Linked DNA regions of Mus musculus. The protein of the gene in region 2 purifies or fractionates together with the protein of the main gene of each other region. This does not show direct contact. Links are inferred from orthologs where the notes say so. Each region holds a gene or a part of one and is shown on either strand. Other genes may lie near its edges.

Region 1 (5,825 bases), on a different chromosome or scaffold from region 2:
TGGAACTCCAGCTCCAGCTCCTAGCCTCCTTGAGCCTCTGCACTATGAGAACATACCCACATACAGACACAAACACCTTCATGTAGTTAAAAACAATATAAATAAACCTAGGGGGTGGAGACATGGGTCAGCAGTTGAGAGTGCTGGCTGCTCTTGCAGAGGACCAGGGGGCACTGCATGTATGTGGTACACAGACATACATGCAGGGAATATACCCACATACATAAAAACTCACACATTTTAGTGCCTAAAAGGGTTCCTGTAACCAATCTCCTATGGATACTGACAGACAACTGTATATCCAAATAGCACACAAAAAACACGCACTGAACTAAAAGTAAGAATTCAAAGACCAGGCTGGAGAGATGGCTCAGCGGTTAAGAGTACTGACAGCTCTTCCGAAGGCCCGGAGTTCAAGTCCCAGGAACCACATGGTGGCTCACAACCATCTGTAATGAGATCTGATGCCCTCTTCTGGGGTGTGTACATATAAATAAATAAATAAATCTAAAAAAAAAAATCCAAAGATCTATACACTTGAGTTCCTCCTAATTGTCAGCCTTTTGACTAACTGTGCACTCATGTTCCTGACGTCACCATTCCTAATAGCCAAAAGGTAGACATAGCTCCACTCTTCATTGAAAGGTAGATTTCTTTTAAAATGTAGCTATATAGCAGCATCCATTATCCCAGCACTTGGGAAGCAGAGGCAGGTGGATCTCTGAGCTCAAGGCCAGCCTGGTCTACGAGTTCCAGGACAGGCCTAGCTATAAATAGAAACTCTTGAAAAAAAAATGTGGCTATACAAACAAAATAATATAATTCGATCTGAGAAAGGAATGAAATGTAATAAACAATACATGAATGAACCTTCAAATCAAGGTGAAAGAAACCAGACTCAAAAGAAAGACCTGGGGCCGGAGGGAACGTTCAGCAGTTAAAGGTACCTGTTCTTGCAGACTGTCAGGTTTGGCTTCCAACACACACATGGTTGTTCACAACCATGCCTAATTCCAGTTCCAGGGCATCTGATAGCCTCTTCTGACCTCTGAGGGCACCAGGCATACATATGGTACACATACAAACATGCAAGCAAAACATTCATACACATTAAACAAAAGTGAAATAATCTAAAAAGCATAATTACAATTCTCCTCAGATGAGAGAACTTATCACAAGCAAGCTCACAGAAAAAAAGAGTACAACAGAGGTTGCCAGCAGTAGGCGGCACAGGAAATATGGACTGTTTAATGGGGACAGTTTCTGTGTACAATAATTAAGAAGTTCTGAAAATGGGTAATAATGACAGCTATACAACACTGTAAGTATATTTAATATCCCTGACTACTCTATTTAATCATTAAAATTGTACATTTTATTTTATATATTATTTTCCACAAATTTTAAAAAAAATTAAAAATTAGAAAAGTCTAACAAGCCAAGTGGGGAAGAGGAGAGAAAGAGAGCCGTGCCGTACTGAGATGTGCCATCTTGGACACAGGCTGCTTCCTCCACTCATACCACCTCCTCTTCCACCTCCCATTTGCTAAGAGAACAATAGAGAGACTATGAAGCCAGTGGGCACATCTGCAGGAAAACACGGACTGTTGTCGGGCAAACAAGTTCGCATACAGGCACAGCCCCTAACTGGCCAGTGAGAAAACTTGCCTGAAATTCACCCTATAGACTAACACTATCATCTCATCTGTTCATTACGGAACTTTAGATAAGCTGTGCCCAACAGCCAGAGCCTTGAAAAATTCCACAAATATTACCCACAAGGATCACTTTAGGTGGCTAAAGTCACCCGGATCTTGTTTCTTTAGCCAACTCAGAACAGTGGTAAGTTCCAGGGTCAGGAGCTCGTATGGCAGAATCCGGAAGACACAGTTTGAAGGCCTGATTCTCCATGCACACACTGGATGACCCTGGAAACTGGTTCCACGGGAAAGAGAATGAAAACCACACATGCGGTATTTGTCGCAGCCAACAGAAGGATACAGACTGTCAAAGTGAGCAAAGTGCACATGAATTCTAGGCTCGCCGAGATGAGTATCTGGAGTGATCCTGAACTGTGGCAACTCTAACCAACCACATTAACAAATACAAACGGACGGCAGGCATGGTCCCTTTCCCAACAGGACAGTTAAGCAGCTTACATATGGCCTCAGGCAAATCACAATTTTTATGGTTCTGTGTTCTAGCCACAAACTAAGAGTAAAGGTTTTGTGCCCATCTCAGGACAGTAATCTAAATGGGTGGTAGGGTTCCCAAACCGTGACTTTTAAAGCACATGGAAACATCTGGAGAGGTACTTCCCACCCGCCCCCCCCCCCCCACACACACAGTAACAAGAGAGTATTCAACAACAACGGAGTTTCAAGTAAGGGGAAGCCAGTTCTTGCTTTTCAACCTGACCAAAGAATGAGTGCCGAGCAGGAGCAGGAGCACACACATCTGCTATCCCACATATTCAGGAAACCGAGGCAGGAGGATGAAACTTTGTGGTCAGCCTGGGCAATGAAGCCCAACTCAAAATAAAAAGCCACAGGTGTTACTCAGTGGCAGACCAATGCCCTAGGCACACGTCCCCAAGTAACTTAATAATGAGTATAGGAATAATGTTTATACTTGTATTTCCTGTTGGTCGTTAAAAAAACAATACAAACAAAATATTTGCCAAGCAGAAACGCTGCAAATATATAAAAAGCCTTTAGATTTGAAATACATTAGCATATACTTCATAACATACAATCTTCACTTGAGCATCACACAGGTTACACCTAAAATGCATTCAGCACTAACTAGATACACTTGATCCTGACTCTAAGAAAAGCTTTAATGTTTAGCACACCTTGAGATGGCTGCACACTGCATAAGCAAACTCTACAAACGCACCCAAACGCATCATTAAAGACTGTTCCTATGTCGACTTCACAAGAATTACTACAAGATCATCATGAACTTATTTATTCATCGCTTCCGTCACCATAAGAGATAAATAAGCTAAACTAAGGAAGACTACCTCCAGGACCCCACTCCCACTCCCACCCCTCACCCGCCGCCACCTGTGGCTCACTGCCCTCCTCTTCATCGCCACCATCTGCACAACTTTCTGAGATGCAGTGTGGACCCGGGACTCGCTGCAGCTAGCGCTATCCCATTATAACCCTGATGCAACAAAACCACCTGGAAGTAAACATAAGCAACATAAGCGAGCAAAGTTTAGGTTTAAGCAACACATAAAACCAGAAACCGAGCACTCCCAGCAGAGAATCTACATGTTGCCTGGCTATCGGATCTTCGGAAAGAGGCAGGACTGAGTCACAGGGTCTAGCCCTCACCCAGACAACCCCAGACAACCCCAAAGCAGGATCCAGCGGCGAGCCTACCTGCCTGAGCTCACTCAGCCTGAACCCATCGCGACCCAGGCAGCTCGGCCCGGGCGGGGGCGCGGTCGGGAAGGGGGACGCGAGACCGTCCGGCCCCCAGCTCCAGACTGCGGTCTCCGGAGCCGCGCCTCGGGCTGCTGGACAGCGCCCACGCCCGCGCGCCCCTGCCCGGGCTCGCCCGCATCCCGGAACTCCCGGGCACGAGCGGCGCGAGGCCGGCGCCGGGGCCCAGCCGCACCGTGCAGACGCGCGCTGAGGTACCTGTGGCAGCGAGGCAGCTCCCGGGCGGCGGCGACCGAGCGGCGGAGAACGGCCTGCGCGCTCCTGGCCCGCGGTCCGGTGTTTGGAGCCCGCCCTCTCCCTCCCGGCCGCCCGGCGCCCGCGCAGCTCCCCGCCCCTTCACCTCTCAACTCCTACCTTTCCCCTCCCGCTCCGCCGCCCTCCACACGTGCTCCCGGCGGCGTGCGCATGCGTAGTCTGGCACTGCCAACGGCTCGGGTTCGCCCCCTGGTGGTCCCCTGCCACACAACTGCGAGAGGAAGTACTGGAGTTGCCTGTGGCCTGGAAAAAGGTGGCTAGTAGCACTTCAGAGTTTTGACAGCATCACTGTCCTGGGAAGTGATTGAGAACATGCACAAGAGCTCGTGTTCCATGCTTTATAGTGCCAAAGGATTAGAAGCGGGGCTGGGTGTATGGCTCAGTGGTAGAGAGCTTGCCTGAGACGCTAGGGGCCCTGGGTTTGATCCACAGCAGCATCAAAAAGAAAAACAAACCAGGGAATTAGAAGCAACTGAGCTAAATAGCAAGTGTATTCAGTTGATGAACTAGGTATAGGAGCCTCCAACACCAAGGATGTTAAATGAGCACTTATAATGAAAGCTAGTTCAAAACCAAGCTGGTGTTAGGATTCCATTTTTGTTAAAAATACAATGCATAGGGTAAAGTGGAAGATATATACTCAGTGTTTATTCCCACGTAGAGGAACTATGGGTGTCTGAGTCTCTTCCACCTTCTGAACTGCCACCAGTCGACTTGCACATGTAACGGATTATGCTGAGTGACTGCTCTGGTAAATGCTGAGTTAAGCATATGGTGTGTGTTCTCTCATTTGGCCTTGGGGAAAGTGAGGTTCCAGACACTCAGCAACAGCACCAACCCTGGTTGCTATGTTTCCATTTGTCCTCAGGCCTGCCTGTGGAGAGATCTCAACCACACTACCAATGTCTTGACTCTCTGAGTGTCACAGGTCAGAGTGGCCACCTGCCCCCATCTTGCTACCTTAAACATACTTCTTTCGTGTCACTCTTGCTCACCCCCAAGGCATACTAAGGTAGAACAGACCCTGTACCTGCCCTCAAGGGCACCAGTGGTGGGGGAAGAGAAAATATAAGTATAGTCACCGTGCAAAACAAATCAGAGGTGGCCACTTCAGCCTTTGGAATAGGGTTATTCTATAAAGCAGGTTTCTGGTAGAGATGTAACTCAGTTGATATACTGCTTGCCCAGCCTTGAATATGAGCCTTAACCCCCAGCAAACTGGCAGTGGTGGTGAAAGACTCCCCAGAGGAGCCTCTCGCTCAGGCCTCAGGATAATAGCAGACACCCAAGAACTCACGATAGACCAAGCTTGATGCAAACCACATGAGGCTTTATTCGGGGAAAGCCAGAGCTCTGGGGATGACTCATATCCCACGCAGGGTTAGAGGAGTCGACCTCGAGGGGAAAGAGGTCCCAGTTTTTATAGGCCCTCAGGGGGGAAAGGAGAAGGGGAGAGTGGGGGGATTTCCAGATCTAAACAATTCTCAAGAAATGGGTATGGGAGGGGTACAAGGAAAGAGTCTGGTGCAGGGGCAGCAACTCAGGATTGGCCCGGTTGTGGTTGCTGGGGAGATTTTCTGACTCTTTCTCAGCAACCAATATCACAAACACCTGGCAGTGGGCTTCATCAGTGGGCACACACATGGGTTCAAGGAATGGTCAAAACATTGGCAGACACACAAGTTCAAGGAGTGGCCAGAGCATTGTGCACCTCTATTTTTCTAAATCAGTGAAGCTAGTTCTGCTAACAGTGACATCTATCTTGCCAATTTCAGGGCTTCTGTGACCTTTTACATTCTGTTAGGATCTTTCAGTGGGTCACACCTATGTCAGCCCTTAGGAGATGCAGGCAGGAGGAACAGAAGTCCAAGGTTCCAATTTGAGGCCAGTCTGGTACATAAGTCTGGCCCCCACAAAGATAAGAAAATGCAGCCCACTGGTAGGGCCTAGCATCAAGGCCTTGAGCTCAAACCTCAGTAATAAAAATAAAATTTATTTTTTTACGTGGTGTATTTTGTTGCTCTGACTCTTGTTGATGGACATGGAAATGCAAACCAAATATACCCTTTGTTCCCCGAGTTGATTTAAAAAAAAAAAAAAGAAAAGATGTACTTT
Region 2 (5,809 bases):
TAAAAAACATTTACATTTTAACAGGTGTTATAAAACCAAAGTAATATTCTAAATTCGAACTTACTGGTAGACACCATTATACACAAGAAACTGAGTGATCAGCGTAGCTAGGAAGGCGATGGTAATCCCAAGCCCAAGGCCGCTTCGGGAACGATCAAATGTCCACCACAAACCCAAAGAGAGGGCTGCTAAAGTCAAGGACAGCTGGACATTATTGGCAAAATCTAATTTCTAGTGATCCAAAAGTTAAGGAAGCATTTTATAATTTATCATAAGAAAAAAAACCCCTAAACCCCAGAATTACGTACAGGGTGTATCACTATATAGTAACTGTCTGCTTCTAATGATGGTACATGACCAATCCCAAGACCCCCAGTGAGGACCAGTCAGAGCGCTGGCTTCTAATAGTAAACTTTCTGACAGCTGGGAGATTGCTAAGAATGCTCTCCTCCCTCCTTTACTTTTCAGTGAGTGGAGACAGGCGGGCACTGTCTCCATGTTGTCTCTGTGTCCCCTAGGTAGTAGGTAAGTTGATTCAGTGCTTGTCAGTGAGCACTCTCAGAGCTGGCTGGCAGGAAAGGAAGGCCCCAAGTGCAGACACAACTTCACAAGATCTTTTACTCTAAGTTGCTCTAGAAACTTAGCATTTGAAGAGTTTACCATCAAATTGGTCATTTTCATAGAAAATGCATAAAACCACAGCAGCCTACACGAAGGGCAAAATGTCAGCTATGGAAAGTAGAAGCCCGCAGGGACCTCCTGACCAGCCTTGGGCTCCTGTGACAGAGAACAGGGACAGGGCTCTCACTACCACAGAGCACATCAGTGGGGTAGAAGGCAAGAGAGAGGACAAAAGTCCACTGAGCCACAGTAAACCTCTGCTTCTACTCTTAGTACAGAGGTCCTAGGAACGGAACCCCAAAATTCCTGCCACGTGAAAGCCAAGTCATACTCTGAAGCTCAGGAACGAGGGGACGAGCAGTGTCAATATACCCTGCCACAACCCAGATGACCCTCTGCACAGACACCAACTGAGGATACGGCACTGGCGTGGTTGATGCCAACGAACACGGCAATACAGCGCATAACGCTGGCCCATTCTCTCTTGAACTTGTGTGGTTCTCCCAGGTGACTGTCAATACAGGGATACAGTAAACCGACAACAGCTGTTTAAAGAAAAACAAAACAGGATTAGGATACACTGGTGAAAATCAGTCCTTGTGTGGTCATTATTAGTAGGATCCAAACCACTTATTTTCCTCGGCAGTTTGTCACCTGTAGCACAAAGTATTACCTTACATACACCTGTAAGAAAAGGCTGTGGGAAGGCCACCCCACACTGCTCTCTTTTTCTCAGCCTTGACCTGGCCCCAGTGAAGACAAGTCTCACACTGTGAGGAGGGTAGGGTCTCAAGAAGGGAGAGAGGCTGGACAGGTCTCCTCGAGTTTGTTTTCGCATGTGTGAAATGAGGATTATGTAAGTAAAGTGGAGGGCAAAGAAGGTTCTGTGGTTCTCAGAGTTAGGAACTGTCACAAACACAGATTGGACTCCAAAACATTTGGACAGCAGAAGTTGGGCACTCCAGAAGACACAAAGAGAGTAAAACCCAGGAAGGGAGGGACTGTCTGCAGTACAAGTGGGAGCAGTCTCATGGACACAGGGCACAAGACCTCAGTCAGGCTGCCGTCCCACCTTGTCCAGTGTGAACACAGGCACTCAGCCTCAGTGGTGAAAGCAGTACCAGTCCAGCCTCATATTCAGATGAGAAACTGGTTTACTGGGTTCCCTTAAACTTTCATCACAAACATGATGCTTCATGTTGAAGATAAACTTTCAAATTCAAAGAGCCTTAGGTTTCATATGTAAGGAAAAGAGAATTCAAATCTCCATCTTATTCCCCAAGGAACTTTTAAATGCTGGGGATAGTAGTTTGGTGGCAGATGATTTGCCTAGCATGAATGAGGCCACCCCCAGTCCAAAACAACCAAGAAGCACACAACTGTCATGTGGCTGACCCTCATAATGCTGCAGGTGAGCCTGAGAGCAAGCAGCCTTGGAAATCAACAGTTAAGTGTCCTGCATCCTACATTTAACCCATGACTCAGCTACAGCACAGCACCCAAGCCCAGCATATAAAGCATAGGCAGGCAGTCAATAAAAGCTGGCTTCAAAGCAGACAGGCACTGCTCCTGCTGTCCTGTGGCTGCAGATTGGAGGAAAGATGCACCTGAGCAAATACTGCCCACCTACACAGGACAGGACAAGGACAAGCAGGGCTGAGGGGGGAGAAACACTTGACAAATGGTTATCAACGCTGTACACTGTAAACTATGCAGGATCTGTTGGACTGTAATTACTCAACACTTTTGGCAAAAAGCAGCAAAATGATCAAGGAAAGAAAAAAGACTGTGGCACTGTTACAAGTTTCGTTGGGCCTAAGAGGTGACACCATAGGTGTGCTTAGGCCCAAAGGCTCCTTTTTTCCTCCTGTCCCAAGTCTACTGGGCACGGAGTTCCAGAAGGTTTGGCTGATAGCCACAATCTGCAGAAGGCAGAGAAGTCTGTCCCCTGGCAACTGCCTCTTGAGCGCACGTGATGGTTTGTTTTCAGTTATCCAGCGAGGTAGCACGTTTGCTCAGGCAGCCAATAGCTGCGTGGTGCTGCCCTCACCAGTTCTCCAGGCGGCCAATCCTGGCTTCTGGCTCAACGAGACAGCTGCGACTCCTCCACTTAAACTGCCAATTATCTCCTGACCTCATCTCCATCACTAGTCCCTCCAACTTCCGCCTGTCGCTCGCCAACGTCTGGGGTTTCCTACCCTCTCCGTTCTCCTTTTCTTGTAACAAGGGTGACTTTAACAGCTGACGTGTCCCTTCATCCCCCTCCCCCACCCCAAGAACAAGGAAAGGCACTCACCCGCTGCCGTGCCACAGCACGGGGGCACCCACCAGGCGGAGGAGAAGATGGTGGCTATCACCTCGTCGGGGAAGAGCGTGACATTCCGCTGGATCTGCAGCAGGTTGAGCACCAGGGCCAGGACCACGCCAAATGAGAAGAGCACTAGGCTCCGCTGCACCAAGTCGTGGTGCCAGCTGCCCGGCCGCGCGCTGCATCCTGTGGTTCCCGCTCGCTGGCCCCGGGGCGCGTGCTCGGGTTCGGGGACTCCGGGGCCCTGCGGACAAGCGGCCGCCGCAATCATGCCTCGCGGGAGGCTGTACGGCCTCGCAGCGCCCGCGCTTGGATAGTTCCAGACGTGGTCGTGCAGCCTGGGCATCGGCGTCCAGGCACAGCATGGAAGGTACACGCCACGACACTACACGTACCGCGCCCGGACGGCCCAGGAGCGGCCGCGGCCCCGCGCGGTTTCCGCTTATAAGGCAGGCTGCCACCGGAGCCACGTGACCTCACCCAGCCTATCCGCCGCCCGCGCGCCCTGCTGGGGGGCGTGTCTTCAAGCGGCCCCGCCCTGTCCGCGCGCCTGTCCGCTCGGGGTCTGGTGAGGCCGCCGGAGCCAATGGGAGGAGGGCGGCCCATATGACGTATGCACACGCCACCGGGGGGGTGGGGCTGGTGCCCGGCACGCGCTCGAGCGCGCGCTATTCGGGCAGGCGCCGGGGCGGGCACCGGAGCGGGCGGCCAGCGAGTCAGATGGTCCGATGCTGCCCTATTGCGCTGCCGGACCTCGGTTTCTGAGATAATGAGGTCCACGCAGGTCCGAAGGAAAGGACCCGGAGCGCAAACCCTCCTGAGTGCTTAAAAGACCTGGGATCGCTTGGGCTGGCTGCTAATGGCAAGTGCTCTGCAGGTTCACAGCTCAGACCAGGGCTCCCCTAGCCAAGACGCCACCGGCTAAAACCACAGGGTGGTGAGCAGGCCTGAAAAGGCACTGTGTGTGTGTGAGACCTTAGGTAAGGAATGTGGCTTTGTGCCAAAAGTGTAAAACAAAGTCACCCTCCTAAGCAGGCTGTTTCTCAGAGATCATGGGGGCTGTCATTTTCCCAGCGTGACACGGGTGTGGAGACCTGGCTGTCTTTCCCTCACAGCCTGTCCACTCCTCTCTTAGGCGGCTCTATGCGTTGTTTGGAAGAGCTTGAAGCAGTTTTGACTTCAAGGAATGTTGCAACTTGGGTCTTCGCCATTTTCCACACTCTGGCCAGTCCATGCATGTGAGGTTTCATGGGCATACACACACGGGGGTTGGGGACATCAGTACTGTATGGTGTATTACAGCAACATGGGAGCCTTTTTGACAGCAAGAAAGCAGGAGGGCCTGCCCAGCTTCAGCTGATAGGAAATTGTTAAAGGCAGTGAGTCTCTGCTGTGGGATGTAGCAGGTGCTGCCTCTACCACCCATCATCAGCTGCAAGTACTCTAAACAGATGTTGAGAAAGCGACACCTGTGTAAATACACACAATTTTGCCCCCAAGGAACAGACACATCGCTCATAGGAAACTTGGCCCTAAGGAACAGACATGCCAGTCACTTGCAGGAAGCTGGCTTGATGGGACAGTCCCAGACCCTGCACCCACGCCCCAGCACCAAGCATCTGTCTTGTGAGCACTGAGATGTAATTCAGTCCCTTTTTCTCAAGCCATTTTGCTTGTCTTTACAGACTCTCCCCCGGATTTTTTTCCTCTTGTTATAATTCTTACCAAGTAGGCTAAGAGGTTCTAATAATACTTTGTGTGCTTTTGTGATGCTTGCCTGGGGGCAGGGGTTGATATCTTCAGACAATTGCTCTGTTACCAACTTGGTTGTTTCTTCTGCTTACCCAAGCCAGTATTAATGCAGTCTAACCTCTGCTGCTGCTTGACCAGCTCATCTGCACCGGGACAAAGCAAGCTGTGGGCTTAAACCCTGGTGGCTGTTGTGGTATGCAGACCAAGGTGCCCTGTGGACCATGAAGGATACACCCTGTGGCCTGGTTCTCTGGGGGTCCCACGGGGGCTGCTATGGGCTCATGAGCAGTTTACCTCACTTTCAGTGAATGTAGGGTGACGGTAGAGAAGAGTTCAAACTGAGGCTCTTGGAGAGGCTGCCTGCCTATCAAAAATGATACCCAAGGCCTGCTAGGTTTTTGTTTTTGTTTGTTTGTTTTGTTTGTTTTTAATGCATACTGGAAATGGAAGATCAGGGGTCCCTTCTCTGGCCCTGAGGATGAGTGGGGTTGCTAGGGAGATGCTTTTGAGGTGGAGCTCCTTGGCCCTTCACTGTACCACTTCATGTTAATCATTACAGCTTTGCTGATTGCAGGTGCTTCCATCTACTGAGAACTTACCTGGGAGCCACCCATTGCTTTTTATCTATATCTCTGCCATTCTTCCTGGGATAATACCAATGATCATTTGTGACTTAATTCTTAAAACGGACTAGATAAGGAAGTAGATTGGCTATTTTAATGTAGTCTCACCCCTTGCTCACTGTAGACTGTTCAGAAAATAGAATCATATCTGGGGTGAGGTAATGACTTGGTCAGTAACGTGTTTGCTGATTAAGAATAAGAAACGGAGTTTGATCCCTCAGAACCCACAAGGAGCCACATATGTAGCAGTACATGTCTGTCCCAGTACTAGGGAGGCAGACAGGACCCTTGGAGCATGGTAGCTGGATCATACACCTAAAACTGAGCTCTGAGTTCGGAGAGAGACCTTGTTTCAAAAAGAGGTGGAGAGCAATTGAGGAAGACTGCTGAGATCTACCCCTGACCTCCACTTGCATGTGCACAAATGCACCTGGACACACACATGCCAGCCTTCTCCCCTCCACTGAGCACAAGCTGCGGTTAACATATCAGCGAGAGTATGCAT
Region 3 (5,745 bases), on a different chromosome or scaffold from region 2:
GTAGAAGCTCCTGTTAATCCTGCAGAGACCTCACTTGGTTCCTAGCACTCACAATATGGCTCCAGCCATCTGGTGCTCCTGTTCCAGAGAATCCAATGACGCCTTCCAACCCCCAAGGCACCAGGCAGGTGTGCAGTACACATTTCTATATGCAGGCAAAACACTCATACCCATAAAACAAATCTTCAAAAAAAATAAAGAAAAAGGCCCTAACTTCACAAGTATTCAATATGTCATCCTAATAAACACAGTAACTTTTCAATCTCAACTGAAAATGTAAACATTGTGCCAAGCATGGCGGCCCAGGCCTACAAGTCTATCATGGGGGAGGGGAGGCTGAGGCCACCACACAGGGACTGACAGCAGGCGGCACAGCACTCTGTCCTAAGCAGCCAGACTGGGTCTCTAAAACCAGAGAAGAAAAAGAAACTCAACAAAACGAGCTTCAGCTGCTCAAAGGCACTAACAGGAGCATTTGACCTTTAAACCCTAAATCAGATGCTTCCAAGGACCCCGAACACTCCTGCAGAGTTGGCGTGTCAGCCCCCACTTCAAGCCCAACAAGCATGGGACAAACTGAGTCTCTAAGAACCATAAACCATAGGTCTGCTGCAGCAAGCCTGATCTGGACAGCCGCTTCCCTTCACTTGGACAGCAGAGAAGAGCTATTTTAAAATGTCATCTGTGCCATACACCGAACTCCTCTCACAGGCAGAATCCAATCACGCTAAAAGGGTTCGCCAGACCACTGTACAAGAGCAGAGAAATGGAGCCCTCGTGTCCATCCCTGAAGACTTCACAAACAGGCAGCCAGTGGATCCACGGGAGGTGCTGATAGCATCAGCCCAGGAAGGGCACACGCCTGACACGTCAAGGTAACGTTAGATAAAAGTTCAAAGCAGCATCCAGCTCAGGGAGAGAATAAAACGCAGGTGCAGGTGTGAAACAGAAAGAATATGTGCACATGTATACGCGTGCAAGCCACAGAAATGAACTGGGTAAAGGACTTGAGGCTGACTGTTTCTTAGGTTCCCATTTAAGGCCAGCACCAGCTACAAGGAGCTGAATGGGATGCAGGTGGAACAGGGACCTCCTTTCGCTGTCTATCACTTTTGTTTACTTTGACCTTTGAAATATGAACTTGCAGGATCTGTCTTTTAAAGTTTTAAGTTTAGAACCAACCTAACCAGTTCTGAAATTCCACCTACTTTTCTCACTGCATGTGGCAGGAGGAGTGACAAGCCAAAGATGGCTGTCATAAGCCACAAGTGAGCCTCAGTGCCACACCTGAAGAGAAGGAGCCTCAAAGGCTTGTCACCTGTCTCTCAGCAGGGCCACCTCCTCTTACCTCTGGTCTCCTTCCAACCTCTCAACTCCCTTTAAGTCAGAGAAGCTGTAGTCAGTCCCACACAGCAAGCCTTTCTCCTACCTGGAAACCCCACAGGACTTCACATGTGTTCTATTGTCACCTATTGTAAGTAGCCTCATTTACATATGAGTCATTTGAGGGTAGGGGGGAAGTGCTGTTGGTAGCTGAGTCTTCCTCAGAAAGGTTTTCATCTGCCTGTGCTAATATCAAACCTCCTGAGAGACTACTGCATGTGTTCTACAAAGACAAGTTCTAGAGAGTCTGACAAAACAATAACTAGTAAGACTTCCGACTGGCAATGACAAAGGACAGGTTCTTGTTAATCTTGCTTGGCATTGGCAGACAATGTTTTGTTCTTAGGCGGGGAAGGGGTTCCCCCCCTTAATGTCTAAGGCCTATGAGTGAGGCTCAAGAAGCATCCATTTTGACAAAGGCCCACCACACTGACACTCAGTGTTACCTGCCAGGAACAGGGGAGGTTTTTAAAGAGTGTGAGGCATAGCTGCGCAAAGTAAGTACTAAACGATAAACAAAACTCACAGCACACACAAGATAGATCTGGGCAGACACCATGAGTGCCAAAACTCCAGAGGACATGCAAGAAAACCGAATAAAGCTCAACTGAGAAATAAGGATTCAAAGGAGGGGAAGGAATGATCAATCTATATGAGGTAAGACTGTGCAAAGAAAAAGAACATTCTTTAAAATGACAATTCTCAGAAACGCCAAAGGGAAGGCCTTAGATTAATGTTTTATGAAATGTTATTAACCTTGGAATTTGAACGTGGGTTTTGCAAGAAGAAACTTACGAAAAAAAAACATTAAACAATACTATTGGCTGTTCTAGTAATAGAATAATGGTTCCAGCTTAAAACAAGGTATCAACGACTACATACACTATAGTCTTCACCCTTGTCAAAAGCACTCCCAACATAATAATTCTAAGTTGTTTACCCTAAAGACGAACAGTTCATCTTTTCTTAGGAGTAGAGAAAGGGGAACTTTGCCCTTCACTGCCTTCTATGAAACTATGCACCAAAGGACCAGGAGGCGTCATCTGCAGCCCACGAAGTTCACAAATCCCGCTGCTTCCTGATGAAGCACAGTGGGAATAATTACAACAAATGAGTTGCATTATAGTTCTACAAACTTATAACATTAACCCCTCAGTCATTTACAGCCTTCTCTAGGCGCCGTGTGGGGAGATACGATCCCCACCAAGCCACAGGAAATCCAAGTGACAATTTTTTAAATCCGGGAGCAACTTTTCCTATTTCTGAGGGTTCATAGAAGAGGCACTCAAGTGCAAGGTGAGAGCAAAATTTTCTCAGATCTGCCCAGCCTAAAATGATGTAACAAACGAAGCCAGTACTTGTGGCATGTGGACATTGCTTATCTCGCACCGGCAGACAAACTAGAACCCTTGTTTCAAAATGGATCGCTAAACGGAGGAATCGCGTTCAAAGGAGGGGCTGCCACACCGACCCGAAAGTGTTTTGCTGCTTTCTGTCAAAAAGGGAACAGTCACAAACCATCGCGGGGGGTGGTTGGGGGTGAGATAAAAGGACGTAGCTGGTCTGTTTGCTTCGTTAAATAGCGCCCATCGGGACTAACGCATTGACAAATAGCACCATTTCGAAGTTGTCTGGCGAAGAGTAAAATGTCCCCCTAACTTCGGCCTTCTCTTCGTCGGCGAGCCGCCCCCAACAACGCCGAGCTAAACCGGACGTGTCGCGGCTTCTCACAGCCTCGGGTCGCCGCACCCCGCCGCCCTGGAGCCCGCGGGTCCGACCGCCCTTGCCTCGACTGTTCTCCCCGGCATCCCGACACCTTCTCTCCGCGGCCCGCCACGCTCGCAGCGCCGCTGGGCCTCGAGCCCCACGCGAGGGCCGCGGTCCCCGGGCCGAGGAGGCCGGGGTCAGGGCCCGGCCACGCCCCCCTGCGGATAATGGGTGACATGGCGGCTCCCGCCCGGCCGCCCGCCCCCGCGCCCGGCCCGCAGCCTCGCTCACCCACACGAACAGGCTGTCCGACAGCAGGTACTGGGCCACGTCGCGGGCCCGGGGGCCGCCGGCGGTCAGGCGCGCCTCGGGCTGCAGTGGGGCCGTTAGCGGCTCCGGCTCACCCGAGCCGTCCTCCGGCTGACTGAGGGCGCGGTAGGCGCTGACGATGGTGCCCAGCAAGGCCAGGCCGCTGAGGCCCGTGTAGGTGCGGAGGCTGGGCCACGGGAAGCGCTCGAGGAAGAGCAGCGGCATGGCGGCAGCGACGGGCTCCGGCCCCCGAGGCTTCCCGCGCTGCGGCCAGGCGCCTGCGGCGGCCTTGCGAAAGGCGCCCACGGGCTCTGGCGTCGCTGCCGCTGCCGCTGCCGCCGCCGCTGCGCCGGGCCGAGCCGGGCCGCTCCTAGCTGCTCGCGCCGCTCCGCCCCGCGCCGCTCCCGCTGCTGCCCCTGCCGGCGCGGAAGAGCCTCGGCGGACTCGGGGCGGGCCGCCGCCCCTAGCGGGACGCGGGCGGGACGGGCGCGGGGGCGCGGCCTTCGTCCCCCGCCCACAGCCGGCGCTCTGCAACCCCGAGAGCACAGGACCCGGCCTGGGGCCCCGCGTCCCGGCCCCCTGCAGCATCCTTGGCGACCCTGGGCCCACTGAAGCCACGAGCGCACCCGAGCCGGGCTCTGGGGTGAGCCTGGCCCGTAGGCAATGACGGCAGGCCTGTGTGCGTGGTCAGGCGGCAGGGTGAGGGTGCGGGACCCCTGCCCCTGGCCACTTGTCGCTTGTTCCTCCCCGCCAAAGCTGGTAAACCCGCCATCCCACCACCCTGTAGACTAGAGGCTTCCTTGGTGTCCTAAAGAAGCGACATGATGCTTAGGAAATAAGAGAAGCCTTGAGATAGAATATTTTTAAAACGGAGGAACCAATTTAACCAGAAATAAAAATCTGTTCCCTCTTAGCTACAAGTAAGAATGTCAAATGCTGCTTAGTTTCTTGGAAAATACCTGTTCCTAAAAGGTAAACCAAAGGGTGACCTTCGTCCTGGCAGTTACACTGCTTGTTAAGTAAACATCCAAGAGAAATGAAAACAGACACCCACACAAAGTCCCTACATTGAGGCTGACAGTAGCACTACTCCTAAAAACCAGAGAGGCAAACCTCGAATTATAGCGTTTGAAAATAAAGTACAGATAATGCTACAATATCAGAGAATGTTGACGATGTCTGAATCAAGCCACACACAGATATCTAAATTCTGTGTGACCACGCTGATAAGACAAATGCATGCAATGTAGAGTAGAAGGGGAGTTTGAAAGAACTGGAGGTGACAGCTAAAGAAGTGACAGGTTGGGGTACTAGTTTCCTGAAGTGAGAATTTCTAAAGTTGCTGTTATACAACTATGAATACACTCAAAGTCACTGAATTGTACACTATAAACAGCAGGTTATATCTATGTGAATTACATAAGATAACATAGGGTACAGTTTTTAATTATTATATCCCCGAGCCATGTGTTAGTGCCTATCCCAGAATGTAGCTCTGTAAACAGCTTTGAATTTTCCAAATTTTCTAATGTGGAGAAATTGTCTTTGTAGTATTTTTTCATGCCAAATATTTCTATAGATCTTTTAAATCTGAAAATTAACCACTGTTATAATTCTTAAAAACATCTCATCATGAGTCTTTGTACAATATAGTTCCCTTTGGTTCGTTCCCAGTCATTTGCAACATGGCTTGTGAGATGAACCATTTGCTACAAACTGGAGTTTGATTCTCATAACTCCCCCAAGTTGTCCTCGGACTTCCATATCTGTGTCTCCCCCACACATAACTAAATGTAAAAATAAAATACCAAGCCGGAACACTATTGTCCAAATAATGGAAATCTTTATTCTGAAAAAAACTTGGGTGGTAATTTTCCAGAGAGATTTTTACAAGGTCAGATCTGAGTCACGATGATTTTTAAACCATTCATTTGTGATGCACACTCAATGTAAGCTACAACCCAGCAGTATTAGATACCAAACTTGTCCTTTCATATTGATGATAACAAAGCTGCCTTCTTTCATCTCAGAAGCGTGGGCTCTCTGAAAATCCAGCATCTGTAACAGATGAAATTAACCCAGCTCAGCTACACTTTAAGATAAGGCCAAAGATTTTGGATGGCTTCTGTTTTGAAAGAGAACAGTCATTGTTCTATTCCTTTACCCTCAAGAAAGTGCTCTGCATGTCATCCTTCCTTCGAGGACCTGTTTGAGATGCTTGTTCTCAGTCTAACCCAGTCTGGCCTCCAGCTCTCGGCAATTCCCCTACTGAAACTCCTGTTAGGGTTAGAGAATGGAGGGCATGAACCACCACACCCAAGCAAACACCTTCTGTTTCCCGAACCC

What was found. The genes of interacting proteins can lie anywhere in the genome.
Region 1: the proteins of Insig1 (region 2) and Scap purify together in Homo sapiens (affinity purification with western blotting; 11 studies listed by BioGRID and IntAct, with this or other methods). This does not show direct contact. The link is inferred for Mus musculus from reciprocal best matches to the Homo sapiens genes INSIG1 and SCAP.
Region 3: the proteins of Insig1 (region 2) and Amfr purify together in Homo sapiens (affinity purification with western blotting; 6 studies listed by BioGRID and IntAct, with this or other methods). This does not show direct contact. The link is inferred for Mus musculus from reciprocal best matches to the Homo sapiens genes INSIG1 and AMFR.

Annotation. Positions count from the first base shown.
Region 1 is NC_000075.6:110,331,334-110,337,158, reverse strand, and holds the start of Scap (sterol regulatory element-binding protein cleavage-activating protein), read right to left. Parts: upstream 3,804-5,825; 5' UTR 3,654-3,803; exon of another isoform or gene 3,393-3,653; intron 1-3,392. UniProt on the Homo sapiens protein: Escort protein required for cholesterol as well as lipid homeostasis.
Region 2 is NC_000071.6:28,068,904-28,074,712, reverse strand, and holds the start of Insig1 (insulin-induced gene 1 protein), read right to left. Parts: upstream 3,302-5,809; 5' UTR 3,276-3,301; coding exon 2,918-3,275; intron 1,167-2,917; coding exon 1,042-1,166; intron 232-1,041; coding exon 65-231; intron 1-64. UniProt on the Homo sapiens protein: Oxysterol-binding protein that mediates feedback control of cholesterol synthesis by controlling both endoplasmic reticulum to Golgi transport of SCAP and degradation of HMGCR.
Region 3 is NC_000074.6:94,008,838-94,014,582, forward strand, and holds the start of Amfr (E3 ubiquitin-protein ligase AMFR), read right to left. Parts: upstream 3,804-5,745; 5' UTR 3,625-3,803; coding exon 3,382-3,624; intron 3,292-3,381; exon of another isoform or gene 3,192-3,291; coding exon of another isoform or gene 3,171-3,191; intron 1-3,170. UniProt on the Homo sapiens protein: E3 ubiquitin-protein ligase that mediates the polyubiquitination of lysine and cysteine residues on target proteins, such as CD3D, CYP3A4, CFTR, INSIG1, SOAT2/ACAT2 and APOB for proteasomal degradation.